Linked DNA regions of Sus scrofa. The protein of the gene in region 1 binds, or shares a complex with, the protein of each later gene. Links are inferred from orthologs where the notes say so. Each region holds a gene or a part of one and is shown in the gene's direction. Other genes may lie near its edges. The genes, in order: ARFIP2 and ARL1.

Evidence for each region.
Region 2: the proteins of ARFIP2 (region 1) and ARL1 are in contact, whole or in part, in a crystal structure (PDB 4DCN), measured with the Homo sapiens proteins. The link is inferred for Sus scrofa from reciprocal best matches to the Homo sapiens genes ARFIP2 and ARL1. Residues at the interface, in NP_001363487.1 of Homo sapiens: Phe205, Thr212, Lys216, Thr217, Asp220, Asp278, Ile281, Lys282, Phe285, Leu286, Glu288, Asn289, Lys292; in NP_001168.1 of Homo sapiens: Glu17, Arg19, Gln38, Ile46, Ile49, Gly50, Phe51, Asn52, Val53, Glu54, Thr55, Gln64, Trp66, Ile74, Tyr77, Cys80, Tyr81.

What each region holds. Positions count from the first base shown.
Region 1 is NC_010451.4:3,244,830-3,260,238, forward strand, and holds ARFIP2 (arfaptin-2), read left to right. Parts: upstream 1-5,181; 5' UTR 5,182-5,336; intron 5,337-6,124; 5' UTR 6,125-6,166; coding exon 6,167-6,265; intron 6,266-6,520; coding exon 6,521-6,617; intron 6,618-7,336; coding exon 7,337-7,455; intron 7,456-7,638; coding exon 7,639-7,860; intron 7,861-8,399; coding exon 8,400-8,557; intron 8,558-8,688; coding exon 8,689-8,863; intron 8,864-9,322; coding exon 9,323-9,478; 3' UTR 9,479-10,087; downstream 10,088-15,409. Other genes in the region: TIMM10B (mitochondrial import inner membrane translocase subunit Tim10 B), read right to left, coding at 4,331-4,507, 4,704-4,799, 5,001-5,039. UniProt on the Homo sapiens protein: Plays a role in constitutive metalloproteinase (MMP) secretion from the trans Golgi network. May have important functions during vesicle biogenesis at certain cargo subdomains, which could be predominantly utilized by secreted MMPs, such as MMP7 and MMP2.
Region 2 is NC_010447.5:82,796,067-82,810,803, forward strand, and holds part of ARL1 (ADP-ribosylation factor-like protein 1), read left to right. Parts: 5' UTR 1-270; coding exon 271-274; intron 275-3,539; coding exon 3,540-3,677; intron 3,678-7,515; coding exon 7,516-7,597; intron 7,598-8,630; coding exon 8,631-8,742; intron 8,743-12,478; coding exon 12,479-12,657; intron 12,658-13,641; coding exon 13,642-13,672; 3' UTR 13,673-14,737. UniProt on the Homo sapiens protein: GTP-binding protein that recruits several effectors, such as golgins, arfaptins and Arf-GEFs to the trans-Golgi network, and modulates their functions at the Golgi complex.

The sequences.
Region 1 (15,409 bases):
ACGGGAAAAAAAGAGCCTGGAATTAGAGGATGTGTCTGAACACCACAAACAGATTGATTCTTTTATAACCAAGGCTAAGAGAATCAAACACCGAGGAAACAGGGTTGAAGATGAGGCCCGAGCAGTCATCTGGGTCCTGACCAGAGAAAGCCTCAGAGGCGAGGCTGAGGAGTTAGAAGGCTTCGCGAGGCTTTCGGGAGCCGACCACGACGGTTAAGAGGATTCAAGAATCGCTCTTGGTTAGTAGGGAAAGGGACGGGCAGGTGTGCTCCAGCAGCCCGTTCTCGTCTTTGAACCCCTTTAACTGGGTAAATGACTGCAGGGACAAAGACGACACCTCCCAACCTCCCCTGTAACAAGACCTGCTCATCTGCTGCACCAGGAGCCTTTCCGGTGTTGACTGATCTGTGAATATGAAAGGCAAAAGATACCAAAAAGTGGAATTCTGAATGAAAAACACCTCTACATCACTGGCAGAAGGCCTTAAATGCAGGTTCTCTCGTCCCTTCTGACAAAAAGCCTTTATTATGTAAATATGACTTGACTGAGCCGGGAGGAGACGGAAAGATGTTCATTCAACAAATATTTATTAAGCCCTTTTACATGCCCGGCACTGATAAGGATTCAATGGTGAGCAATAAGGACAAGGACTCTGACCTCCTGAGGTTTATAATTACCAAGTGTACAAGGCTACAGGCCCAAAACAGGAGGGATTACGGAAGCTGGAGCCCAGGAAGAGTCATTTGAGGAAAGAGTATTTAAACTAAGTATGTAAGAATGAGTAGAAGTAGGTAGGGTCAGGGGAAAGCATTGCAAGCCAGGAAACAGCAGGTGCAAAGGCCCTGAGACGACAGAGGTGAGACAGGTTGTGGGAACTGAAAGGCCCAGGGGGTTAGAGCACAAAGCCAGTGAGTGAGTGAGTGAGGTGCGGCCCCGTTCAGGTCAACAAGCAGTATTAACTGTCCAGGGTTTGACAGTCACGAGATCAAGGCAGGCAGGGGCTGGATCACACAGGGCCTTGTTGGTCAAGAATGTCAGTTTTTATCCTAAGAATGGGAAGCTGCTGCAAGGTTTTAAGCATCAGTCTGTATCTTCTGGCCAGTGAATGCGGAATAGACTGGAGGGTGCAGAAGTAGACGTGGGGGGGGGGGCAGGAACTGCAAGAATCCTGGTGGGAGACTGTGAAGATGAAGAAAAGCAGATGGAATCCAGGGATTTTTAGAAACGTAAACTGATCATCTAGCAACTGAGTGAAGGGATGAGTGAGGTTTCTAGCTTCTGCAGCCGGTGGAGCACCAGGCCCAGCGAGAAACATACTGAGTTGGGATCCCCGCCCCGGCTCCACAGTGTGCAGTAGCTTGAGGTGGGATCTCTTTCCAGACTAGAGACTGAACCCTGGCCGCAGCGGTACAAGCACGCAACTCCAACCACAGGACTACCTCGGAGCTGCCAGGTTGGGATATTCTTGAAACACCTCAGTAGAAATATCAATCAGATGGCTCAGGGGTCAGATCTGAGTCACAGTAACTAAAGCTCGGAGTGGAGATAAAACATTTCCAGAGAGATTATACTCAGAAAGAAACATTTGGATTTAATGGCTGGAGGAGACAAGTCCTACAAAGGAGGCTAAGAAGCTGTGGCCAGAGGTGGCAGCAGTGAGACCACAAGTGGAATCACAGACACTAATGAGAGCGAGATGAGGGACTCGGCAACAGCACCAGACGCCCCTGAGAAGTGAAGGAAGCTGGGGAAACCACCACTGGCTCCAAGCAGGTGAAGGTCCCTTGGTGAGCTGGGGTGACCTCGGGAAGAACTCTTCCAACAGAGTAAAGGCTGCAGAAGTCCAAACAGACTGGGTGGAACGGAAATGCAGAGAAGTCAGAGCTGTAAAAGCAGAAACAAACTGGATGGTGCCCGGGCGGCAGTGGCTTGTTTGCTGCACCGGGCTCTTTAGCTCATTAAGACGCTGCTGAGAAGAATCAGGTGGGGAAACGTCAGCACTCTCCGCAGGAGGGAGGACTGGGATGGAGGCGCAGCAACAGGCACTGGCCTTAAGAGGGACGCCGGTCCTGTTTCGACAGGAGGGAGAGGAGAGAATGACGCAGGTGTAGGTGGGTTTGGGGTTGTGAGAAGTTGCGGGAGCTCCCCACTGACAGCTCCGACATTTGCTAACGAGGTAAAAACAAGGCTACCAGCAAAAAGCGAGGAGACGGTGCAGGTAGAATCCTGGTTTGAAATAGTCACTGCAGGGAACAGGAAAGCTGACTTGAAAAATCTAGTGGGATTACAGGGGCTGAGGCTCCATTTGAAGTTGATAACCACGGATTCACGGTGATATAAATCCTCCCTACACTGACTCCCTTATAAGCCTAAATGCATGCACAGATGGTTCATCTTATCCAAGTCCAACAAAGAGAAGCAAGGACATCTAGCCTATTCCAAGCAAATGGCTAGAATTTAAGCTTGACAGGAATCTAATGACAGGAAGGTGTTAATGGAGAAAAAGTGGAAGCAATGGCCTGACTGCTCCAGTGAAACTTGTGTAATAATTTGTGTGATAAAAGGATAAAGTTTTGTCAAAGCTCATCCTCGAGTTGTGCTTCGAATGTCACACTGCTCTCATTATGTCCATGGGACACTTCACGGGAAGACCTGAAGGAGATTTCAGTGGCTTCTGATACATACTGAATTCTTACCTCCTCATCTCTCAAGTGGGGATAATATCGAAACCAGAACCTATACAAAGTGGGTGCTCAAGAGACGATTTTGAGAAGCAGCCTGGTATAGCAAAGAGAACGACACCAGGCTAGCATAGTTCCCTTAAAGAGATATACTTTAAGTATATCGTAAAGTCAGATCTGCCTTTTGAGAGTCTGCTACCAGAAGAATTCAATATCCTGACCTGTATAGGGGGAGAAAACAACTGTTTTGTGGGTGGTTTCAAGTTTTTTGAAAAAGTACTACTGTGGAAACCAACCAAGCTTTTGTCTAAAAGCTCCCATTTCCATTATAAAAACGAAGCATGATCACCGAAGGGGGAATAGCTGAGGGTGAGGTGGGGGGTTAGGGAGAGCAGTGAAGGTGTAAACAGCTGCCATGGTGATGAGAAGAGCAAACAGACCAGGAACCCTCCAAATGCTATTTGTTGGTAGAGCTTGGTTGCAGCTGGGACTGGGAATATTTAGTGGCATTCACTACACAGCTGTGTTTTCCTCTAGCTGTGTGAATGGAGGACCAGAAAAGTTAAAACAGCTGGACTGGGAGTTCCCTGGTGGCCGAGCAGTTAAGAACTCGGCATTGTCACTGCTGTGGCTTCAGTTTGATCCCTGGCCTGGGAACTTCTGCATGCCATGGCATGGCCAAAAAATAAATAATAATAAGTAAAACAGGTGGAATGATACAAAAAGGACACAAGGGCAGCAAAAAAATTCAGGGATGGAGTGACATGCCACTGAGACTGCTGAATACAGAGGTAAACTCCACAAGGGAGGCAATAATGAGGAAAGAATGGAGAGGCTGGAATTAGAAACCATGGGATAGGCACAGCTGGGACAATGCAGAGTAGGGGGCAGGGCTGGAATTAGGAGATCACAGGCGAGCAGTGAGACAAGAGCGTAACATCCAAAAGCTTTTCCTTTCTTCTGTTTTTTTTTTTTTTTTTTTTTTTTTTTTGTCCCCTTAGCCACCACCCTCTACTTCTGTGGTTTTCTCTCCCTTGAGTCTGACTATAGTGCAGAACATGGCTCCCCAAGTTTTCCCCTGACTGCTCCTGAAGACGAGCACACAGACCTCCTCGGTTTAAAGGATTTACTGCTCAATTTCTGGGAGTATTAAGAAAGTAACAACTTGGGGGAGTGGTTAACGTTCTAGAACACCCAGAAGTCCTATAGGTTTCATCTGTCTGGGGCTACTGACTTTCGAAGAGGTAGTGCCTAAAAGCCCTGTGGTTTCTTAATCCATGGTCCTTAATATCTCTAAGCGAACCATTTAAGTCAGACAGATTTAAGGACAGAGTTCCCATTTTCTCTGCCGTCTGGGCACGAACCAGCGTCTTGTTGCCAATTTTAAAGCTGTACCCACAGACCTTCCTTTAACCAGGTGCCTGGGAATGCTGAGGTTTTCCTTCCACACACAGAAGGCAACTTCTCCCTGCCCAGAATATCAACCGCACAGATTACAGCAGGTTTATTAGCTCCAGGAAAAGGAGCAACAGTACCTAGCTCTCAGGCAACTCCTCATTCTCTACATACAGGCTCCATCTTGCCCAAGGTCCACTGCTCCTTCAACGTGAGGGTCCATCCAGTGCCTCCCTTCTCAGCGTTGAGGACAGCTAGCTGCCAGATGGCGAGGCTTCTGGCTGTTCAGCAGCAACACCTGGCACAGCTGAGGCAGCCTCGTAGTCAGCGATGCGGCGCTGTACCAGGGCAGGCATGAGCTGCACGTAAGCGGCCATGAGGCGGTGGTTGGAATGGATCAGCTTCCCGGCACAGCTGTGCAGACAGGCCTCCTGGAAGGAAGACAGGGTGGAAGTAGAAGCCAAAGGTGTCCAGTCAGGTCCGTTTCCCTCCTTCCCATCCCCAGCCTCAGGGCGGAGGTCGTGGGAAGCCAGGGCCGGACGTAGGGGAATTGACGGGAGAGGGAAGCAGTGCACGGTTAGCTCTGAGGCTCGAGGAGCACTTCCCTACTCAGTTCCCCCACCTAACCTCCTCGGCATCCAGAGCTCGGTGATGCAGGCTGGGCACGCAGCGCTGGAAGCAGAGTTCCGTCATCCGATTGTAGACCAACAGGAAGTCCCGCAACTGGGGAGGAAGGGGGACAAGGAACTCAGCGAAGAGGGGGCCACGTCTCAACTCAAGGCCGCGCTGCCGGCGCTTTCCCAGGACCGTGTACCACGGCCCGTGGTTCCCAGCCCTTGGATGCCTGGCTCTCTGGGGTTTCCGCCATGCGAACAGGGATGCTAGCTGGATGCAGGGCCCTTAAGCGACTTAGCTCCCACTCACGTTTCTCAGCTGCTGCTGCTGCTGCTGTTGCTGTTCCATCACGCCGCCGGCGCACAACCTACGTCACTTCCGTTACAGCTTCTAGGGAACGCCCCGGAAGTGACCTCAATGGCTCCCCAGGGGCAGAGGGGTTGGCTCAAGGAGCGCCCGCCCACCTCCCCGCGACGTCACTTCCGCCCTCATAATCGGCTACGTGGCCGGCTTCTTCTGCCCGGGAGAGGACGTCACTTCCGCCGAGTCCCTGACCTGCTGCTAGGATCGCGACGGGAACTGGATCCCGAGATCCCCGCGCGGCCCGGGCCTGGCGCCCTGAGGGGAAGAGCGGCCCGGCCCGAGGTGAGAGGGACGTGCATGGGCGAGGGCAAGGTGAACGCACGAACCTGACCTGAGGGCAAGATGCTTCTGAGCCCTGGGAAAGGATGAGGACACACCTGACGCCCAGGTGTATGGGGGGAGGGCGGAGACTCACACACCTGGGGAGACCTAACTGACTTTGGAAGGGATCACCTCCCTATGTCCTGGGGCAAAGGGACTTTTCCCCGGGGTCGGGAACTTACACCAACTGATTCAACTAAGGCCTGGGGCGGGGGTGGGGGCAGGAAGAGGGGGTGCATGGGATGGAGGAGGGGGAGACCACCTGCAGGAAAGAGGAGGAGACATTAGAGGAGTGTGAAAGGCCAAACAATGGCGAACATACCTGAACGGGGATAGGCACCTGAGCGCTGGGAAAGGGATTGTCTCCTGATGAGGAGGAATACCTGCGTGGGGATAAGCTGCTTGAGAGCACAGGCTTTCTCTCCATTGCCTCAAATAGTGCGTGGCATGTAGTAGGCACTCATTAAATGTCTGTGGAAGGACTGAATGCATGAATGATCCCTGGACTGCTGGGGGGGTGGGGGTGGGGGGGTCATGAGAACATGACCTCTGGTCAGGCACACCTGAGGCCTGGGTGCCTGTGTGTAAAACTTTGCACCTTGGAAGGGAGAAAGACAAAGCCCCGAGGGAAGAGTGGTGGGCAGACCCCACCACACTGAAGCCCCGGGACGGCCTCTGCAAGGGCAGGGGAGACCTTCCTCTTCGGAGAACTGGCCCGTTTCCAGAACTGTCTGTGTTGGGCTTTGCAGGGCGCTGGGGTGGAGACTTTGACTCCAGTCCCTTCGCTCGCCATGACGGACGGGATCCTAGGGAAGGCAGCCACAATGGAGATCCCCATCCACGGGAATGGTGACGCGGGGCAGCTTCCTGAGGATGATGGGCTGGAGCAGGTGCTTCTGTTTGATTCTTCACATTGTTTCAGTTGAGGAATCCCAACTCTTAAACCCTGAGCTCTCTCCTTCTTCCAGTAGCCTTCCCCCAACTCACCTGATTTCCTTCAGTCTTTTTACCAATCTTTGTTCTGATTCTGTGCAGACTTCCCTTGTGTGCTCTCTCTATGATGCTTCAATCCAAGCTTGTTTTCACCCCCAAAATGCTTCAGCTGCCCATATGTTCCTGAAGCCCCCCTCTTCTCTGGCCTATAGGACCTCCAGCAGGTGATGGTGTCAGGACCCAACCTCAATGAAACCAGCATTGTGTCTGGTGGCTATGGGGGCTCTGGTGATGGACTCATCCCCACAGGTATGAATGATCAGAGCAGGATAGGGCATTGAGTGGAGAGGGGAAGAGGACTGGCTCCAGGGGGCATAGGATACGTCTAAGAAGGCGTGAATCATGTCTGGAGCTCGTGGGAACCTCTGCCAGGATGAACCCGCGGGCATCTCAGCCCAAGGCCCGTTCCCAGGGGTGTCCATCTGCCTCCACTTGCCACTTTGTCCCTCAGATATGCCCACTTGTCCCTTCTCTGCCGTCACTACCTGAGTCAGGCAGAGAACTCTGTTCACCAGGCCTCCCCTGCTCTGGAGCTTGAATCTGATTTGGAGCTTTGAGAGGCTTATCAGAGTCTTACGTTAGACTCTGCTATTTAGAGGAACAAGCAGCCCTGAATCTCGCAGTGACTGGGATCCACATGGGAATGTCAGCCAGGTGTTCGGTTCGAGGGGCGCCCAGCCATGGTCAGCGACCCCATTCTCAGCCTAGTCTCCGCTGTTTCCTCTGCCCCTGCACACGAGCAACCCCTCCCACCTCCCTTTCCAGTCCTCACCTCCACGTCAAAAGGAGGCCAGGTGTATGTTGGGATTGGGTCTCAGGGTCCAAGGCATGAATTCCTCCTAGTGAGTCTCCAGCCCTGCTCCTTCCGGGGCGTCATTTTCATGTGCTGGGAGGGAAGTGTGGGTGGAACCACAGAGGCGTCGGATTGTGTCTGAGAGAGGCTGGTGTCAGAGAACTTGGTCCTTTAGGGTCTGGCCGCCATCCATCTCACAGCGCCCCTCCTGCTGGCCCCGGGGATGAGGTGGCCCGGGGCATCGCTGGAGAGAAGTTCGACATCGTCAAGAAATGGGGCATCAACACGTATAAGGTGGGATTCACGCACCTCCTCCGCCCCCTGAGCTCCCCCGGGTACCTCTTCCCCATCTTGCGGATCCTCCTGTCCCATCATCTCGGGCTGAGACTTGGAGTCTGGGGACGCCGGGGTAGACACTTGCTGCGGGGCAGGGCCGGGCGCCAGGGTCTCTGACCTGTTCCCCCACTTCCCACTCAGTGCACAAAGCAGCTGTTATCAGAGCGGTTTGGCCGAGGCTCCCGGACTGTGGACCTGGAGCTAGAGCTGCAAATTGAGCTGCTGCGTGAGACGAAGCGCAAGTATGAGAGTGTCCTGCAGCTGGGCCGGGCCCTGACAGCCCACCTCTACAGCCTGCTGCAGACCCAGCATGCACTGGGGGATGCCTTTGCTGACCTCAGCCAGAAGTCCCCAGAGCTTCAGGTGCCTTGGGCAGGCCAGAGGGGGAGGGGGGCCTGGGCCCGGGGCCCTCCCAGGCAGTCACCCCTCAGCCTCCCTCCTCCCTCCCTCCTGCAGCCCAGAGGGAGAACCCCTCCAGGGTGGGCCCAGCCCCGCCCCCAGCAGCACTCACCAGTGGAGGCAGCCTAAGGGTTTGTACGGAGGTCCAGAAGTCGGAGGGGGTGGGGGAGGCGGCACACTAGGTGCCTCGCAAATAGCCCTTCTCGGCCTCGGCGAGAATGCCTTCGGTGCCCAGCCTCATCGGAGCCGCTCCCTTGCCTGCTGCACTGGCTTGCCCTCTTCCAGTCCCGTGAACTCCGAGAGCCCCGCTCCCACGTTCCTGCCCTAGGCATCCCCAGGGGGGGCCCACGACCCTTCTGGCTAAGAGAGCCTTGCTGGAGGCCGCCCTGGGTGGCTCCAGTTCAGTGGCTGTTTCCTCCGGGGGAAGGAGGGCAGGAAGGGCCCCGCAGCTCTGGTCAGGTGGAGGCCGTTGCTCAAGGCCGGTCCCTGCCTTCTGCCCTCAGGAGGAATTTGGCTACAACGCCGAGACGCAGAAGCTGCTGTGCAAAAACGGGGAGACACTGCTGGGGGCCGTGAACTTCTTTGTCTCCAGCATCAACACGTTGGTGACCAAGACCATGGAAGACACGCTCATGACTGTCAAACAGTATGAGGCTGCCAGGTGTGGGCACTGGCAGGGCCCAGGGGTTGGGGAGGTGGCCGGCATGAGCGGAAGTCTGAGCTTTAGGGGCACGAGCACGGAGAAGGGAAAGGATGGATGGTGGAGACCAGCCTCTCTCACCCCCTCCTCAGGCTGGAATACGATGCCTACCGGACAGACCTAGAGGAGCTGAGCCTAGGCCCCCGCGATGCAGGGACGCGTGGTCGACTCGAGAGTGCCCAGGCCACTTTCCAGGCCCATCGGGACAAATACGAGAAGCTGCGGGGAGATGTGGCCATCAAGCTCAAGTTCCTGGAAGAAAACAAGGTGCTAACCCCACTCCTTTGACCCAGCCCCCCCTCCCTCTTTGACCCAGCCCCCCTCCCCCCAAAGACCGGCCCATCGTTGAATGAAAGTGTAACCTGGCTAAGGAGTGGGGTCTTCCCCCAGCCCACTCAACCCCTGGACCCCTCCTAGCACCCTCCCCCTGATCCCCAGCCCTTTTCTAGTGGACGATGTGGCTGCCAGTCCAGGAACAAAATTGGGAAAAAAATCAGCCCTGGAGCTGGGATGCCAGAGCCCCCTAGGCCCGGCCAGTCAAGCCAGGTTTCTCCTAGCAGAGTGGCTCTTACTCTTTGAGTCCCTTGTCGAAGCTCGGCCCCCACTTCTAAAGCACCCTGGGCGCGGAGTCCACGTCCCCCCCCCCCCCCGCCCCGGTCCAGGCTCAGGCTTACAGCCCCTTGGGGGCGGGTGAGCCCAGTCTCGGTGACCTTACTGGGCCCCCAGATCAAGGTGATGCACAAGCAGCTGCTGCTCTTCCACAACGCTGTGTCGGCCTACTTTGCGGGGAACCAGAAACAGCTGGAGCAGACCCTGCAGCAGTTCAACATCAAGCTGCGGCCTCCGGGCGCTGAGAAGCCCTCCTGGCTAGAGGAGCAGTGAGCCGCTCCAGCCCAGCCTGGCCATCAAGAAGGACATTGAGGGGGCAGGCCCAGGGTGGGGGAGATTTGGACCTGGGACATCCCTTGCCACCTGCCCTCTGGCTTGGGTTCCCTTTCCCTGGCTGGGGCCTGACGCCAGTTTTACCCACACTGCTGTGGGTAGGGAGGGGCTTGCAGGCCCAGCGGCTGCTACCCTGTTCTGTACTTCCTGGCCCCTGGGCTTCATTCCCAGATCTTTTCCTTCCACTCCACAGCCAAAGGCTGTGACAAAACCACTCCCTGGCCAACGGCATCACTCCTCAGGCCGATCCCCAGCTCCTGGGGGGTGCCCCCTGACCAATGGCAGGGCCTCAAAAGGCCCTGTCAGCCAATGGCAGCTCTTCTCAGGCTCCCCTGGGCCAATGATGTTGCCTCCAGTACCCTTTGTCCCTCCTCGATGCGTGCCCATTGCAGAGAAGGGGACTGGGACCAAAGGGGTGGGGATGGGGGAGCCCTCTTTCCGGCCCTGTATCTGAATGGGTCTCCCCTCACCTCCCCACCCAGTTTAATTGTGCTTAGAGCCCTGGAAGATGGGGACCTAGCACTAGGAATAAACCTTTCATAAAAGCAGGCCCAGTGCAGCCAGTTTGTGGGGGACTCTAGGCGGGTGGTCTGGGTGGAGAAGCGCTCAGTCTAACGGTGGCCCAGTCCCGTCAATTCAGGGGAGCTGGGGCCAGACAGCTCAAGTCACGAGCATCAGAAAGAGTCCGAGGGCCCGCTCCCTCCCGAGTCCCAGTAGGAGGCTTTATTTGCCCGTTAGGCTAGCACCGAGACAGCAATGGATCTTAAAACACCGGGCCCCGAGGAGTTGGGCCCCTGACCTCCATCATCCATCCATTCATACGGCAAATACTCACTGAGTGCTTTTATTTGCCAGGCACTGCGCTAGACCCTGGGGAAACATCAGGGAATAAAACACAGTCCCTGCCCACAGTGCTTATGGCCTAGTGGGGGATAGAGGCATGTAACCAGGCAACTAAGACACAGTGAGAGCTGCCAGGTCCTGAAGCTCAGAGGAGGGTGTCTGGTCTAGACGGGGGCCTTGGGGGTGTCCGCCTGAAAGCGGAGACCTGGCAGCCAGGTGAAGGGTATGGGGAAGAGCATTCTAGGCAGAGACCAACCCAGGTGAAGGCTCGGAGTAGGAACTGGAAGGAATTCAGCTTGGAATGGGAAGTGAAGGGGAGTGGCCAGGGGATGACTACAGAGGTAGTAGGTCGTGCCAGGCCTTTTCAGGCTGTGAAGCCTTATCGGGAGAAGTCTCGGGTCCCCTCATGTTGTGTAGCCCTGGCCCCCACTTCTACAGCAAACATGAACTCCGTCTGAGGCTCATTCGCAAGCACCAGAGCACCCGTGCTGGGCCCGGCACTAAGGCGGGTGAGAGGTCAAGGCAGCTTCCAGAGCCACTGCCATCCCGCTGTTGAGCCCAAACCTGACCCTTGTGTGAGGCAAGGAAAGCTCCTGACAGCACCGATTTAGTCGGGGTCCAGGTAGCTCCAGAACCTGGCAGCACCCTCCTCTCCCTCTGGAGGCTGCAGGCCTCTGGCGGTGGCTTAGTCAGGGGGCTGGTCCATACACAAGCCCCTCCACTTTAAGGCCGCTGGAGATTTTTCAGCCTGAAAGGTGCTGAAGCCCGGCCTGACTGGAGGCAGGCCCTCAGGCAGAGCTCAAGGCCTGGTTCCAGCACTTTCTAGCTGGCTGATCAGGGTTAATGTCTGGGGAGCCACGGGCCCTCAGTTCTTTCCGTTGCAAAACCCAGCTAATAAAAGAAGCCACCTATTAAGATGAAGAGTATGAAGGGTAATATATGCAAAGTGATTCGTTATGTGTCTGGCACACAATAAGCACTCAGGCGCTGTTAACTGTTATTGTACTTTTTGATTATTTTCCACCGGGGCTGCTTTTCCACAGTGCGACGATTCTGAGAATTGCTCTGGTCTTTGGAGGGTGGGAGGCAGTCGCTGGAGGGCCTGAACCATAATTTCCTCAGGAGGAGGCTCTGGAGGCAGAGCCCCGCACCTGTGTACCCGTCGGCCGCTTCTCCCAGAGCTCTGGGTGCTGCCCTTCCACCTTGGGGCCCTTCCGCCGCCCCGAGGTCTGGGCCGAGGCACAGACGCCCGGGTCCTCCGCCCAGCAGAGACCACGCCAGCATAGTCCGCAGGAGCCCGCCGGGGAAGCCTGGAAGGGCCCCTCCCCGAGGCAGCCCTTACCGGCTCCCAGCGTCCGAAACCCCCGCTGCCCAGCTGCCTTTTCTGGACGGAGCCCCTGAGACCTGCGCTGCCGCCCGTCCCTGGAACTGTCGGGAGCACGAAGCGGCTGGCGGGGAGCGGGGAGCGGGGATCGAGGATCCGGGCTCCGCGCGCCGCCTCACGGGCTCCCCAGCCGGATCGCGGAGGCAACATCTGCGGGAGTCTCCGCCGGGGTCGGGGAGCGGGGCGGGCGGGGCCTCCGCGGCGGTGGGCGGGGCGTGGGCGGGGCGTGGGTCCCCGCCGCCCCCTCCCCCGGCTGGTCCGCAGCCCCGCCCCGGCCCCTCCCTCCGGCCTGTGCGGCTGGTCCGGCGGCGGCGCCGGCGCGGGGACAGGCGGAGGCGCGGGACGTGGGGCGGCGCCGCGGGCAGGGCCGGGCGGACGGGCGCTGGCAGCAGGGGCAGCGCCGCGGGCCCCTCGGAGTGGCCGCAGCCGGGCCTCGGCCCTCCCATCCTGCCTGGCCGCGGTGAGTGCGACGGGCGGCCCCCCGGGGGGCGTTGGTATCCCCATCTGCCCGGCCCCGGTCCGGGTGCGAGCGGCGGGGTCTGTCCGAGTGTCTGTGGGTGGGGGCACAGATGCTTTCCCAGAGCTGTGCCTGCCTCTGTCCACGTGAGGCGTGTCCCTGTCTGTGAGAGCAGTGGGGGGATTCTTCGGGCTGTGGCTGCTCACGTGAGGTCCATGTTTGGGGGGGAGGCGCGGGTGGATGGGTGATGGATCCTTGGAGCAGCTCGGGGTTTGGGAGCGTGTGTATGTTGGCGGAGGGGGTCGAGTGCTGCGGTCGAGGATGGGCGGGGGGTGGGGGCGCGGGTGGGGTTGCGGAGTGGGACTCTGGAGTCTTGTGGCCCAGCTCGTCCGCGGGCTCCTTTCTCGCTGGTGCAGACTCTTCCAGCCCTTGCCACCCCCTCCATCCTCCTCAGGTACCTAGCGGCCCCCCGGGGGCTCTAGGGGACACCCTTTTCTCCTCTCGCACTGGCCCCTGGACAGGAAGCCTCCTCCGGAGGCTGTTTCTTGCAGGAAAGGACCCTTCTGTTTCCCCTGCAGCCTGGGCCCGCCTGGAGGACCCCAGGCCCCTCCCTGGTCCTGGCCTCCTCCCTTCTGGACTTGGCTCCAGCTCATGGGCTGCAAACCTGCAGGGACAGATGGTTGCAGGTCGGAGGGGCAGGCTGCATCCCAGGGAGGTCAGTCCGCTGAAGGCCGGCTCTGGGCTCGCTCCTGGCGTGGGGGTCTCTGATGTGGAAAGCAAACCCAGGGCTGGCCCTGGTAGCAAGATGAGATCTGGGAGGTTGGAACAGGTGCAGAGGTCTTTTGCACAGGTCTCTCCTCGCCTGTCCGTCCAGCTCATCAGTGCCCATTCATCCCCTGAAGCAGGGCTCTGATTTGCTGCAGAACTGGAATCAGAGCTGCAGGCCTGACAGGTGCCCTGCCTCTCTTGGCTTGCATGCCTCCAGTGACAGAGCACTTACCACCTTCTGCTACGGGAAAGCTTCTTTGTGTGAAGTGGAGGGCTTTTTCCTTGGAACTTTGTTCCCTTGTCTTGTTACTGCCTTTGATTTTGCCTCTCTGTCTGGTGAGAAGGAACTGCAGTGATTTAAACATGGCTCTCCTGTCACCAGCATATACTGAGCACCCTCTGTGTGCCAGGTGCTGCCTCAGCCGCTTAGGGGACAATGGTATTCTTGCTGAGAGAAGAGCTTGAGCAAAGGCCCGTCGTTGGGAGAGTACAGCCTGTGTTCAGAATAACAGAGCCAAACCATATGGCTAGGGCAGAATGTGCCTGAGGGAGTGGCATGGGTGCCCTAAACCCAGCAAACGTTTATCTTGCAAGGGGGGCAGGAAACAACTGCAGCCGCTCCCTAACACACCTAGCCTTTCCTTGGAAACCAGCAATCAAATACCCAAGGTGGTACAAGACTGGATTTAATCTTCACCTGGACAGAGAGAACCTTGGGAATCTCAGGTTTGGGGATGAAAACGTGCCCTCCCCCCAGTTTACAAAGCGAGGGGCTGGAGGAGGGTCTTGCCCGGAGTCCTCCCTTACGTTCATGAAAAGTAGCAAGAGTCAGGACTAGCTCCCGGATCTCCTGAGCTTTTTACCTAGACACCTGTTAGGGCCAGACAGAGTCAGAGCTCGAACCTGAAAGATGGAGGAAGAGGAGGAAATGAGAAGATGCACGGGGTTCCGGCTGGTGTGACTCGGTGGATAGTGTTGCCTTTTGTTGAAATGAGAGCTACAGCCGGAAGAGTAGCTCAGGGGAAAGTGAATTCCATTTTAGGCTAGTCTCTAGCAGAACCCCTGTCCAAGGTACAGCTGGCTATACAGGCCTGGGTTCAAGAAAGTTTTCTGCACAGGAGATAAGGCTGTGGGGGTCATGAGCGAGTGGACGGTAACCGAAACCAGGGAGAGGCGAGATTTCCCAGGCGGTGTATGGAAGTGAGGGGGCAGGAGGCCCTAGATCGAAGCCCCGAGGAACCAGACACATAAGGAGCGGCCGGGGAAGGGGCAGCCAGAGAGGTCAGTGAGAAACTTGCCTCGAGTGGGTTGTGATAGCATCACGTACAGCCTCTGCTCTTTTGAGTCCTGCGCTCTTGCCCAGCTGGTCCATGTGTCTTAAGTTTTCATGCTTCTGTTCCTTACTCACTCTTCCCAAGGTACCTAAGACATTCCTATTTGTACCCCAAGAGCCAGATCATATATTCCTTCTTCTGCAAGCCTTCTTTTTTCCCTTCCTTCCTTCCTTCCTTCCTTCCTTCTCTCTCCCTCCCTCCCTTCCTTCCTTCTTTCTTGCTCACCACACCCGAGACATGTGAAAGGTCTGGGGCCAGGGATTGAACCTAGCCACATGTGCTACCTGTGCGGCAGCTGCAGTGACACTGGATCCTTTAACCCACTGCACCAGGTGGGAGATCCAACCTGCGCCTCTGCAGCTGCCTGAGCCACCCCTGTCGGATGCTCGTGCACTGCACTGCAGCGGGAACTCCTCTGCAAGCCTTCTTTATCCTCCTCCACCACCTTCAGAGTGAGGCGCTTCCTTCTCTTCACCATCGTAGCAGTTTGAATGCGTTGATACCACGCCGCCTATCACTTTGTCGTCATGTATTTCCGTGTCTGTTTCCCACCCTTGCCTGAGGCCTTGTGATGGACCGGGAGCGTGTCCACTTCAGCGGTGTGTCTCTAGTGACCACCTGAAGGGCCTTATCTGGAGAGCTGGGAAGTTGGATGGTCTGATGGGTTGATCAGCTCATGGAATGGTTCAGTCACCTACTCAGTCTGGCCCTCAGAGGTGGTCCCTGCCAGGCTTACCGAAAGGACTCCTTGGCTTTGAGGACTTGACCCCTCAGGCTTCATCTGTTCCAGAGAAACCCCAGGCCTGTAACCTGTAGTCATTTGTCATTTCGCTGAGCCCTCAAATGATCAAATACACGTGGAGGCTGGGGAACAGCGAGGCGAGTCACTTGCAGAAGCCAGCGAGCCTCCCTGGCCTCTTGCATCCACTTGTTAACAGTGCTTTGGTCGCCTGCCTCCGCTCACAGCTGTGCAAATCGTGTCTCCTGAGCTTGTAGGAGGAAGTCGGCGGAGGAAATTAGATGCTGTTTGAGACTTTGGAGAAACTGAAAAGCCTTGAAACACATCCTTTGCAGATGTCCAGGCT
Region 2 (14,737 bases), on another chromosome or scaffold:
GGGATTTGTGTGGAAAGTGAAGACGCGGACCCTCAGGCCGCTGTTCCCAGCGCGCAGCCGCGGCGGCAGCCTTGCTCCCGCCCCCGCCGGGAGTCCGACGTGGAAGTTGCTGGCTGACCAGGCTTCCAAGGAAACCGCCTCGGAGCTGGAGACGGAGCTGGAGTGCAGGCCTAGGCGAGGGGCGGTGGCGGCGCCAAGGCTCGAATAGGAGTCGTTGCCAAGGCTGGGGCCGGTCTCTGACGATCGACGAGGGCGGAGAGGAGGTTCATCATGGGTGAGAGACCTGAGAAGGGAGCCTGCGCGCGCTCGAGAGGCCGAGGCCCAGAGCTGGGGCCGGCCGGGAAAGCCCGGAATAGTCGGCGTTTTAGAGGGCGGGTCGCTGAACAACACTTAACGGGGCTCTTGGATGGGTCTGCATGGACCGTACCTCGAACCTTCTCCCCTGCCCTTGTTTCACCTTTTTCCCGGCGGGGTCATAGGTGGGGACAGCTGGGTCTCTCTTCCCTCGGACCCAGCTCGACCTGCTGGGCGGAGCCGGTCTTGCGAAGCTTGGCAACGTGTCAGTCGTAGGTTCCCTGAGGTTTCTTCGGTGAAAGATGAGATCTGACCTTGTAGTGGAAGCTTGATTCTTTCTCCCTGTCTCTGGAACAGCGACACTTAAAATCCAAGAGGGAGGGAGCGGGTTGCTCGTAGGGTTACTCGTAATATTTTATTGCCAATTTGGCATTCGTCTGTAGCTTGCATTTGTCTGTAGCTTTTCACGTAGATAATAAAGTGGAGGAGGAAATGGGCAGAGTATTACTAGAGATGATGTTTTAATCTCAATTTTTGGAGTGCTAATTGAGGGAACTACATCGTCACTACAAGCGTCAGGTAAAGACCGCTTCCCTCCCCGATAGAGCCCACCTGAAGGTGCAGATTTTTAAACCTGTTTACATCTCTCCAAATGATGCAAATTCTTTGCGATTTTCTCGGGAGTTTACTTCTTGCTCTGGAACATCACAAGCGCTTACTTTTTTTTTTTTTTTTTAGGGCCGCACCTGAGGCATTTGAAAGTTCCCAGGTTAGGGGTGAAATTGGAGCTATAGCTGCCGGCCTACTCCACAGCAACGCAGGATCCTGGTCTGCGACCTACACCGCAGCTCAGGGCAATGCAGGATCCCCGACCCACTGAGCAAGGCCAGAAATGGAAATTGCACCCTCATGGATACTAGTCAGATTCATTTCTGCTGCACCAGAGCAGGAACACCTTACCTGTCTTTTTTCAAAACCCTTCACTTTTCTTCCCACCTCCCACTTTCTATTGTGGCTCAGTGGGTTAGGGACCCTACCTTGTCTCTGTGAGGATGTGGGTTGGGTCTCTGGCATCGTTCAGTGGGTTAAGGTTCTGGCTGTTGCTGCAAGCTGGGGCATAGGTCACAGATGGCTGGAATCTGGTGTTGCTGTGGTTGTTGTGTAGGCCTCAGCTGCAGCTCTGATTAAACTCGATTAAACTCCTGGCTTGGGAACTTATAGAGGCCACAAGTGCCATTGTAAAAAAAAAAAAAAAAAAAAATTATTGAAGTGTAATTGATTTACAGTGTTGGGATAATTTCTGCAGTACAGCAAAGTGACTCAAACATGCATATATAGTTAGTTATTTCTTTTTAATGGTTGCACCTGTGGCATATGGACGTTACCAGGCTAGAGGTTGAATTGGAGCTGCAGCCACTGGCCTGCACCACACCCACAGCAACACTGGATCTGAGCCACATCTGTGATCCATGCTGCAGCTTGCAGCAATGCTGGATCCTTAACCCATTGAGTGAGGCCAGGGATCCAGCCTGCATCCTCACTATGTCGGATTCTTAACAGGAGCTGCAGAAAAAACTTCTTTTATTTTTTATTTCTTTTCATTTATTTATTTATTTATTTTGCTTTTTAGGGCCTCACCCGCAGCATATGGAGGTTTCCAGGCTGGGGGTCCAATCGAAGCTGTAGCCACCGGCCTACACCAGAGTCACAGCAATGCAGGATTCGAACCCCATCTGTGGCCTACACCACAGCTCACAGCAACACCAGATCCTTGACCCAGTGATGGAGGCCAAGGATTGAACCCGCAACTTCATGGTTCCTAGTCGGATTCCTTTTCGCTGCACCATGACGGAAACTCCAGAAAAGACTTATTTTAAAAGTGCTTTCTTTTATTCTAAAAAGAATAAAGATTCCAAATTTCCACTTCCCTTATTCCTAGGGGTTATTTTATTTAAACAATGCAAATGAATCAACACCTTAACCTATTGTTGGGAAGTCCTGCAGAGACAAAGGATAATTTTAAAATTTTAACTTTTTCCAGCTTTATTGAGGTATGAATGATAAAAATTGCATATATTTAAGGGATACAGTTTTGATGTAGGTATACATTGTGAAATGATTACCAAATCAAGCAGATTTATACATCCATCACCTTACATAGTTAACCTTTTTGTGTGTGTGATGAGAACACTTCCAGTCTACTTGCTTAGCAGATTTCAAGTGTATGATACATTGTTGTTACTTATAGTCACCATGATGTTTATTAAAAGTCTCCACAATTTATCTTCAAACAGTTTATATCCTTTGACTAACATCTTTCCTATTTCCCCCATTTCCCGGGTATCTATCTGGTAACCACCGTCCTATTCTCTGTTCACAAGTGCTTTTATATTACACAATACCTTGTGTGTAAAAAGCTTTCTGGTAATATTACATAATGCACTGAATGTAGCTTTCTTATTTTTCTAATGATTTTCCATCAAAAATAGTTTTTTTTTTTTTTTTTTTGTCTTTTTGCTATTTCTTGGGTTGCTCCCGCGGCATATGGAGGTTCCCAGGCTAGGGGTTGAATTGGAGCTGTAGCCTCCGGCCTACGCCAGAGCCACGGCAACACAGGATCCGAGCCGCATCTGCAACCTACACCACAGCTCACGGCAACGCCGGATCGTTAACCCACTGAGCAAGGGCAGTGATCGAACCCGCAACCTCATGGTTCCTAGTCGGATTCGTTAACCACTGCACCACGACGGGAACTCCAGTTTTTTATTTTTTTATTTTTTGGCTTCGTCTCAGTATTTTGTGCTAGTTCTATTCCTTACAGAGAATACTCAATGATTGAAGGTACTTAAGATGATATTGCTGCTATACAGCAATAATAATTACTTTTCATGTTCAAGAACCTCATTGTTTAATGTCATTCTGATTTGCACTTTGGGGTAGTGAGGAGATGATGCTAAGAGAGCTGCATTCTCCTCAGTAGAAAGTGAGCTTCATGAGGACAGTGGTCATATTTCTCTTGTTTTTGAGTGTATCTTTATCTCTCTGACACCTGGTATCTACTAGAATGTGGTAGCAATTAGTAATTACTATTTTGATGTTGAATAATATATTTCACGGGAGCAAAATATACACCTATGAATTACAATAGTATTTAATTTGGTATAGCTTTCAAAGGGCAAGATTAAATCTTTTGTGGACATAGCTCACAAAATGGTATTGAAATTCATTTTTGTTATTTTTTTAAGGTGGCTTTTTCTCAAGCATTTTCTCCAGTCTGTTCGGAACCCGGGAAATGAGGATTTTAATTTTGGGATTAGATGGAGCAGGAAAAACTACAATTTTGTACAGATTACAGGTTGGAGAAGTCGTAACCACTATTCCTAGTAAGTGTTTGTGTGATAAACTGATTATAAGGGCTTTCTGTTTCCATCCAACGTAACTTTATTTGCGAATAAATAATTGTATATTGTAATTGATAAGGTTTGTAAACTTCTACTATGAGCATAATGTTGGTAACCCTTTTTTTTTTTTTAAATAAAGCTGTCTATTTTTAATAAGGTTTTTTTTTAATAATTTTTTTATTTTCCCACTGTACAGCAAGGGGGTCAGGTTATCCTTACATGTATACATTACAATTACATTTTTTCCCCCACCCTTTCTTCTGTTGCAACATGAGTATCTAGACAAAGTTCTCAATGCTATTCAGCAGGATCTCCTTGTAAATCTATTCTAAGTTGTGTCTGATAAGCCCAAGCTCCCGATCCCTCCCACTCCCTCCCCCTCCCATCAGGCAGCCACAAGTCTTTTCTCCAAGTCCATGATTTTCTTTTCTGAGATGTTCATTTGTGCTGGATATTAGATTCCAGTTATAAGTGATATCTTATGGTATTTGTCTTTGTCTTTCTGGCTCATTTCACTCAGTATGAGATTCTCTAGTTCCATCCATGTTGCTGCAAATGGCATGATGTCATCCTTTTTTATGGCTGAGTAGTATTCCATTGTGTATATATACCACCTCTTCCGAATCCAATCATCTGTCGATGGACATTTGGGTTGTTTCCATGTCCTGGCTATTGTGAATAGTGCTGCAATGAACATGCGGGTGCATGTGTCTCTTTTAAGTAGAGTTTTGTTCGAATAGATGCCCAAGAGTGGGATTGCGGTAACCCTTTTTTTTTTTCTATAGAGTTCAGTGTAATTAATGCACCTCTTTGCGTGGTAGAATTTTGCCATTTAGAGCTATTTTAAAAGTTGGGTAGAGGTATATCACCTAATCTCATTGAGAGCCAGTATTTTCATTGATAAAATGAAGATTGGCTTTGAGGGGGAGTACATCAAGTATATAAAATACTCTGTAAGCCTGTGTAAAGAATTATATAGAGGAGTTCTCTTGTGACTCAGCACGTTAAGGATCCGGCATTGTCACTGCAGTGGCTCTGGTTACTACAGTGGTGCATGTTCGATCCCTGGCCCAGAAATTTCCACGTGTTGTGGGTGCTGCCAAAAAAAAGAATTGTATAGCTATTAAGTGATATTATACATGTGAAGCAGGGTTTTTCCTGTATTTGTAACTATTTAAGATTAGTTTCTCTTAAGCAATTCTATTGATTACTTTTCAAGATGTGAGTTGTTGAAGAGACTGAGTGTTGAATTAATCTAGTACTTGAACATATCCAGAAATAACTCTAAATCAATTGATATCTTAGAAAAATGTTCTTCAGCAGTCCTATTTTACTACATAAGAATGTTGTCCTGTTACTTATATGCTTTTTTCATTGTTGCCCTGAATTTACTTAGAGAAAATTAGTGCACTTAAACTAAGTTTGTAGAGTTCACTCAAGAATATTTGAATTATGCCTTTTGGAGTTCCCGTCGTGGCTCAGCAGAAACGAATCTGACTGGTATCCATGAGGATACAGGTTCGATCCCTGGCCTCGCTCAGTGGGTTAAGTATCTGGCGTTGCCATGAGCTGTGGTATAGGCTGCTGACGAGGCTCAGATCCTGCATTGCTGTGGCTGTGGCTGTGGCATAGGCTGGTGGCTACAGTTCCAATTAGACCCCCAGCCTGGGAAACTCCAAATGCTGTGGGTGCAGTTCTAAAAAGACACACACACACACAAAAAGTGTATTTAAATTATGCCTTTAAAGTTACTTTGTCACTCAAGGAACGTCTGTATATAATACCATTTAAATTTCCAGATTAAAAAAGAAATCTAGCTTTTATGAAAGAGGAACTTTTCTGTGTCATCTGTTACTTCTTTTTGCCACCCTCAGTAAATTTCATCTTCCTCAGTTTTTATGTCTCAGAATTGCCCATTTGTGCTGCAGTTGAGTCTTGGTGGCTTCTTTAGTACACGTAGCCCAGTGGATTACATTTCGGCCTGATTGTGAGTGTGGTTTATACTTGTCCACACTTTTCCTTTGCACATAAACAGTGTTCCTAATTGAGGTGAAGATTGTGATTACACTGTTACCCAGTTCTAAGGGAGGTATCATGAACTTTTTAGTTTTTCACTTAGTTTTGCTATAGTGTAATTGTTTTTTTCTTTTTATAGCAGTGCCTGCAGTATATGGAAGTTCCGGGGCCAGGGCTTGAATTAGAGCTGCAGCTGCAGGCCAATGCCATAGCCACAGCAACATCAAATCAGAGCCATATCTGTGACCTATGCTGCAGCTTGCAGCAATGCCGGATTCTTAACACAATGAGAGAGGCCAGGGATCGAACCCATGTCCTCCTAGACACCATGTTGGGTTCTTAACCCACTGAGCTACAATGGGAACTCCAGTATAGTTATTTTTTTAGTTGTAATAGCTTACTTGCCACGTGCTCATAAGCATCATTTGCCAGTAAAAACTTAAATCTTAAAAATTGTCTAGTTACATCTGTCTTTTTTTACTTTTTTTTTAAGTTTGTAAAATTTTAGTGATCATTGTGTATGTTTGTGTGTATGTATAAAACATAGCTCCTAAGTTTTTTTCAGCATCCTCTCTACCCTCTTTTTTTTTTTTTTGTCTTTTTTTTTGCTATTTCTTTGGGCCGCTCCCACGGCATATGGAGGTTCCCAGGCTAGGGGTCGAATCAGAGCTGTAGCCCCTGGCCTAGCCAGAGCCACAGCAATGCGGGATCCGAGCCGTGTCTGCAACCTACACCACAGCTCACGGCAACGCCGGATCGTTAACCCACTGAGCAAGGGCAGGGACCGAACCCGCAACCTCATGGTTCCTAGTTGGATTCGTTAACCACTGCGCCACGATGGGAACTCCCTCTCTACCCTCTTTTAGACTCCTTTCAGTGGAGTAGTATCCTTCCTTAGCCATGTGTTGCCAGAGCTCCACTTATGGAGGATGGTAGAGGAAAGGGACGGGACACCTCCCCTTTGACCATCCCGCTGTGACCTTACTACAAATGAGCTCTTGGGGAAGTCTTCAGAGGGTCTGTGAAATTGCCAGCCTCAGAGAACCTTAAAGGAGTATAGAGCCATGCTGTGCCCTTACCCACTGAAGTTTAGAATCTATCTAGGCTTTCTTGGTTTTGTTCCCTGTTATTTGACTACCTACCAAAATTCCTTTTTTTTTTTTTTTTTTGGTAATGTCTATAACTGTTCTTTCTAAATATAACTTTCTGAACACTTTTGTATGCCAGTACTGTATTATAAGGGGAGTTTAACATAATAGGGTTTCCACTGAGCTACGAATTTCATATTTGCAGAGATTCTTGTATACCCTGAAAATGGGGCTGATTTTGCTAATTAATGCCTGTGTGTGTGTGTGTGTGTGTGTAGCACTGCATGCTGTCTTAACTTAAATGGAAGACTACTCAGCTAATAATGTTATTCAACAATTACTATTAATTTCGGAAACTCAGATTATGTACTGTTTTTTTGTGTTTTTTTGGTTTTTTTTTTTTTTTTTTTGCTTTTTAGGGCTGCACCTGTGGCATATGGAAGTTCCCAGGCTAGGGGTCAAATCAGAGCTGCAGTTACTGGCCCATACCACAGCCACAGCAACATGGGATCTGAGCCACATCTGCAACCTACACCACAGCCTGTGGCAATGCCAAATACTTAACCCACTGAGCAAGGCTAGGGATCAAACCGCATCCTTATGGATACTAGTTGGGTCCCTAACACGCTGAGCCACAGTGGGAACGCCCCAGCCTGTGTGCTTTGAAGATAGAATGCACTAATCTGCATAAACTACTAATCTAATTTCTCTTCCAGCCATTGGATTTAATGTTGAGACGGTAACATACAAGAATCTTAAATTCCAAGTCTGGGATTTAGGAGGACAGACAAGTATCAGGTATGGTACAAAGGCCATCTTAGTTTTGCAGTATTGAATCTTTATTAGTTCTTTTAGGGTTAATAGCAGTAAACCAAAACATACCTTCCTCTTAATTTTATTGGGACCCACCTTGTCTAAATTGAGTAAAACTGCCTTCTTCTTTCAATTAAGATCTGAGAATTAAAAATTTTAACTAAAGAATTAAAATCTAAGGAAGCTAGTTTTTCAGATATCACTTAAATGAAAAATTTTTCCACGAATATCTCAGGACCTAAATACTTCGGTAATTTGAAATCAAGAGGGTCCTCTATTTAGTTCTTGTCAGTCCCTTGCTCTATGAGACAGGCTGTTTTGGATTTCATGAAAATACCTTTTAGGTCCACCATTTGGGCTAATATGAACATAGATGCCCTCTGAAAGTCAGGTCTCCTGCCCATCATTCTGTGCTTGACATGGCAACTGTGAAGGTTTAATGGCTGTCACCGATTCCTCACGAGGCTACTTACTATCTTAAAAGATCAGTAGTGCATTCCCCAGACATCCTGCTGCCTTCCACTCATTTTATTTCTTGAACCATTTTTGCGTCTATTTCTAGTTTTAGCCATTTTTACTTGTCTTCAGTGATCAATTTAATGTCTACTATAAAAAATTATATTAAAATTTTTTTTAAGAACCCATCCCTCTTAAGGAGTTTCTTGTTAAAGATTTAGAAGATACAACAATTAGGTCTGTGTAGAACATTTTTTTATCAGTACATTTAGTGATGCTGTAGATTATAAATGTATTTTCTTAGCCTAAAGCCTGAACTCATTCTGAAGTTCCTTGTTCCTGTGATTTATATTTATGAACATTTTTTCCATCCTGTCCCACCTGAGGGGTGTATGTCTGTCAGAAACAGTGAGTCATTATGCATTGATTCTACATGGGTGGGGAAAGATTGGCGAGTTATACCCCCTACGCCAGTGTTGCCAAGACCCAGAATGTAAATTAACATCTCAGTTTCTTCTTCTTTTAAATAATAATATGTTCTCCCTTTCTGAATTTTCTTTAGGCCATACTGGAGATGTTATTATTCAAACACAGATGCAGTCATTTATGTAGTAGACAGTTGTGACCGAGACCGAATTGGCATTTCCAAGTCAGAGTTAGTTGCCATGTTGGAGGTAAGAAAGCTTTGTAAAAATGTGGGGAAATAATTTACATTTACTTGCTGTTTTCATTGTTTATTGTCACATACAGGAATAATTAAAAGGAAAACAGAGGAGTTCCCTAGTAGCCTAGTGAACGGATCGGGTGTTCTTGTCACTACTGTGGCTCAGGTCACTGCTGTGGTGTGGGTTCCATCCCTGGCCCAGGAATTTCTGCATGCCTTCCTTGGGTGGGGCCAAAAAAAAGGGAAAACAGGGATTAGTACCATTTTCTTCCTTACAAATTCCTATTCCAAAAATATTGTTGGAGAAATAAAAACAAATACCTTGTGGCAACGCCAGATCCTTAACCCACGGAGGCCAGGAATCGAACCTGCATCCTCATGGGTACAGTTAGGTTCTTAACCTGCTGAGCCACAGTGGGAACTCCTGTTACTCTTGCTTGGAATGCTTTTTCCAAATCTTTGCATGGCTGCCTTCTTGACATGTTTCATTTGACATGTTTATTCTGCAGAGAGGGATTTCACTTATATTCCAACCCCTTATCCTACTTTATTCTTTGCACCACCAATCATTTCTTTCCATTATTTTAAAATATATTTGTTTAATTATATATACCTCTCACCCTAAAATGGAAAAGACTTTGAGTTTTACATCTGTACCCATGATGTGTAGAACCACGTGCAGCTCTTAAGTAAGAGCTCAGTACGTTGTTTTCACTGAGGTTTGTAAGATAATTCATTGGCTAGCTGACTGAAATCAGGATGCATTGACTAATCAGCTAAGTTTTAAAACCTCCATTTGTTAAAAAGCTTTTCAAATATACGAATGATTAATTTAATTAATAACAAAATTACCTTTGCTTGATAAAATTAGATGAGTAGATTTCTTTTTCCCACCAACATTACTATTCTGGATTATCTGATCATTGAATGTTTAAATGTTAAATTCTAGGCCACTTGATTACCTACTTCAGACTTCTCATTTTTTGGATGACCAACATCTTAGTAGCTTCTGAGTTAGAAATTGCAGACCTAAAGTTTTACAGTTTTGCTTAATTGCTTTTACAATATAGCATCATATTTATCATAAGAGCTTCTTACTTCTTAGACCAAATTTAAAGTATAAGGAATTATTTTTTTTTAATAGCTGTGCCCATGGCATGTGGAAGTTCCCAGGCTAGGGGTCCAGTTGGAGCTGCAGCTGTCAGCCTACACCACAGCCACAGCAATGCCAGATCCACTCTGCATCTGCGACCTACACAGCAGCTCACAGCCACTCTGGATCCTTAACCCACTGAGTGAGGCCAGGGATGAACTTGAATCCTCATGGATACTAGTTGGGTTCGTAACCACTGAGCCGCAACAGGAACTGCAAAGTATGAGGAATTTTAAGGGACTGGTTAATTGCCTTGGGTATAACAGATTTTTAAAATAAAATCTTTATTTAGATGTAAATCATGTGGTATAATAGATTTTTATTGTGTAAAATACTGTAGAAAAGAAATGGATTTTTAACTTTATTCCACAGTTCTCAAATTGTGCTAGATTGTTGTTAGGTTTTTTGTGGTATTAAGATTTGACTTGTATAATCTTAGGAAGAAAGGACTAAAAAATTTATTCATTCTTTAGAAAGTAACTTAATCAATTCAATCAATAAATAATGATATAATGTACATGTGGAGTAGGAGTCAGAACTACTATATTAAAATATATAGGCACAGGAGTTCCCATTGTGGCGCAGTGGAAACGAATCTGACTAGGAACCATGAGGTTGTGGGTTCGGTCCCTGGCCTTGCTCAGTGGGTTAAGGATCCGGCGTTGCCGTGAGCTGTGGTGTAGGTTGCAGATGTGGCTCGGATCCTGCATTGCTGTGGCTCTGGCGTAGGCCAGCAGCTGTAGCTCCGATTCAGTCCCTAGCCTGGTAAACCTCCATATGCCACAGGTGTGGCCCTAAAAAGACAAAAAAAAAAAAAAATTATAGGCACAAAATCAATTTGTTTTACCTTTGTACACAAAAATTTTGTGTATTTATTTACTTATTTTTATTTTTGTTCTTGTTTTCTCAGGGCCATTCCCACAGCATATGAAAGTTCCCAGGCTAGGGGTCGAATTGGAGCTGTAGCTGTTGGCCACAGCTATGCCACATCTGAGCCTCATCTGCAGCCTACACGCAGGTCATGGCAACACCAGATCCTGAACCCACTGAGTAAGACCAGAGATCCAGTGCGTATCCTCATGGATACTAGTCAGGTTCATTACCGCTGAGCTACAATGGGAATTCCCCCAAATTTTAAATGAATTAAAGAACTAAATACAAAAATGGAAATCAGGGGAGTTCCCTGGTGGCTCAGCGGGTTAAATATCCAGTATTGCCATTGCTGTGGCTTGGGTCACTGCTGTGACATGGATTCGATCCCTGGCCTGGGAACTTCCACATGCCATGGGTGTGGCCAGAAAAAGGGAAATCATTATAAGTGTTTAAAATTTCTGAATTGGGAAGGTTTTTCTGAATCAAATGATTGGAAACAATTACAAAAGAAGTGATAGATTATATTAATAGAAACCAAAAAACAACCAAAGCTCAGATGCCAAACAATACAAATTAGGGTAACATAGGGAACTGCACAGTTTCATAACTAGTGACACTAGGATTAGTGTTCTTAATCATATAAATACCTTTTGCAAATCAATAGAAAAATGAGCAAGAGGCATGAACCTACAGTTTATGGGAGAAAAGTATATTGCAAATAACATTTGCATTTCTAGTACCCTGGTAATAAATAAGTATATAATGATATGCTATGTGTGAAGAAATACAGTGTCCAGTTCTGCCAAAGCTGCATTGAAGACGGGCACTGTCATATGCTGTTTGTGGAGTTGGAATTGTTACAACCTCTCTAATAGCCTGGAAAAAATTTCATACTTTGATCCCATTTTCACAGAACAGTGATGAAGGAAATAAAGATTTGCAGAAAGCTTTCTATGTAATGATTCTATCACTTGGGTTCTCTAATACTTGAATGAAAAGAATCTACTAAGAATCTAATACTGGAAAACAGTTCTATCATGTATGGCGCATGCATTCATAGTGTAGAGTATATTTAGCCATTAATTAAAAAATTTTTTTATGATTTTGAAAAATATCTACAATATGTTTGTTTTTTAAAGGAGGTATGGAACCATATTTAAATGTGATCTTAAATATATGAATATATTTATTAAATAAACTATAAGTATCTGAATTACAGAGCAGTAGAAAACACCCAAAATGTTAAGCAGTGATCATGTTCAGGAGATAGGATTATGGGTGAAGTTTCATTTCTTCATACTTCTCTATAATTTAAATCATTATAATGAACATTATATATTAATAATTAGGAAATGTGCTTTTATTTTATTTATTTTTTTGCTTTTTACGGCTGCACCTACAGCATAGGGAGGTTCCCAGGCCAGGGGTCCAATTGGAGCTGCAGCTGTTGGCTTATGCCACAGCCATAGCATCGCTGATTCCGAGCCGAGTCTACAACCTATGTCACAGCTTATGGCGACACCAGATCCTTAACCCACTGAGCAAGGCCAGGGATCGAACCTGCAACCTCATGGGGTTCCTAGTTGGATTCATTTCTGCTGCACCACAACAGGAACACCTAGGAAATGTGCTTTTAAAGTAATGGATATTTTGGCATTTTTTCCTAAACTCAAGGAAGCAAATTGATTAGAAGCAATAAAACATTTTCTATTTTATTTAGGAAGAAGAGCTTAGAAAAGCCATTTTAGTGGTGTTTGCAAATAAACAGGACATGGAACAGGCCATGACTCCGTCAGAGATGGCAAATTCGCTTGGCTTACCTGCCTTGAAGGACCGAAAATGGCAAATATTCAAAACTTCAGCAACCAAAGGCACTGGCCTTGATGAGGCAATGGAGTGGTTAAGTATCATGTTTCTAGAAGTCATTTGCGTATTTGTGTGTACATGCAGCTGTGTACAAATGTGTAATTTCCCTTTAGTCTTGATGAAATTCAGATTACTTAGCTAGCTGTTTATCATATTAAGTTCTTTTGGCCTTTTCTTCCACTGGCCTTCATGTACATATGCTTTTATTTCACCCACACCTACCTTTTATACTTAGATAAGCCAGCTCTCTGCTCTGTTTCTAGCTTTCCCCTGCCTCACCCCACCCTCCAATTCCTTGTGCTTGCAGTTAAGGTTCTCTTCTCAGTAGCCTTCCCTGATGTGTCTCCATGCCCACTGCCTTGAGCACACACATAGGTGTCCTTGTCACAGGTCAGTGACCTAATAGAACTTGTTCCACTATCTTGTAATTGGTTTGTGCATCTACTCATTAGATCATCATCTCCTTGACGACTGAGACTAGTTTTCCTCCCTGAATTATCTACATCTTACCTGGCTACAGTAGTAGCAGCCTGGAAAGTGGATATTTGGTCTTTTTTGATTATTCATTCAAAGCGTAGACAAAGTGAAAAACTAGAAAGATCCTCATGGAAATTGAGTCCATCGCCTTATTCTTCTGATATAACTATCTTAGCCTTCATCATTTAAAGTACTTTATTTTATTCTATCTTGTCTTTTTAGTACCGCACCCAAAGCATATGGAGGTTCCCAGGCTGGCCTACTCCACAGCCACAGCAACGCCAGATACAAACCATGTCTTTGACCTACACCAGAGCTCACTGCAACGCCAGGTCCTTAACCTACTGAGCAAGTCCAGGGATCGAACCCATGTCCTCATGAATACTAGTTGGGTTCCTTAACCACTGAGCCACGACAGGAACTCCCATTTAAAGTGCTTCTGGAATCTACTTCCAGTGTGAAATTTGTGTTACAAATGACCATGCCCTATACCTAAAAATTTGAAGTTAATGTTATAGAACTTCATTTTTCTCTTCACAGGTTAGTTGAAACATTAAAGAGCAGACAATAATTCAGTCACTTCTGTTCCTCTGAAATGAAGACCACATCACATATCCCTTTGGAAACAGCTAAGTGTGCTTCACACTACAAAATGTTAAAACTGTATGATCGCTGGCATATACCGAACTGACTGCAACATTTGTAATAAATATAACAAATAAGTATCTGGTTGGAAGGGTAACTCATCGTGATTGAACCCACTGAAAGTCTGTTCTGTATAATGTAAAATACTCCTTCCTTGCTTTCTAGTGTTAAGGTATATAGTTTATTTGTATGGAATTCTTATTTAGATACAGTTCCATTAAAGAATGTACTTATTGAGGAAAAAACCTTCCAATTTTTAAATTAGTGGTTGCAGCTTGTTTGTATTAACACTAATAAATATCTTGACTCAGATGTTCCCCCCTAAAATGAATTTAAAAGGTTTTCCAAAGATTAGGCGCCATAGAGTAGGCTAAGAACCTAGTGTGGGTAATTTTAGTCTTCATTTGCTTAATGACCACTTTATTTAAGCTGCTTTATTTAAAAGCTTTCGGTTATAGGCATGAGTTAAAGTGATTATTCTGGTGGTTAACTTCACTGACTTATCTGTAATTATCATTTTTTAGTATCTATAGTTATTGGGACAGTTTTACAGATAATGGATCTACGAAGCTAGGACAGGATGTAATGTCTTCATCTTTATAGATGTGGACCCAGGGTTCTGATAGGCTTGTCCAAGGTTACCTGCTAGTGAGGTGAGTCTCAGATGAGACTTCAGGGTCAGAAGCTTGTCCCATAAACTACATCATGCCAACATTATCAACAGAGCTCCTTATATTAAAATTTATGCTAATTGAAGTAGACACGGCACATTCAAAATAAAGTCTATAAATGTATTTCCCCTTACTAGTGGAGGTAGTAAAAATAGTCCTAAATGGTTGTATTTGATGGAATTCACAACATACTAAAGAAAGTTTCACATTAAAGGATTTTTTTTTTAAAGAGCTATTTTAAGAAGCATTATAAAGTATGTCTTTTTGATTTCTTTTATCTACCTGTAATTGGACCTTTAAGTTTGGTGAAAAGTCAAGCT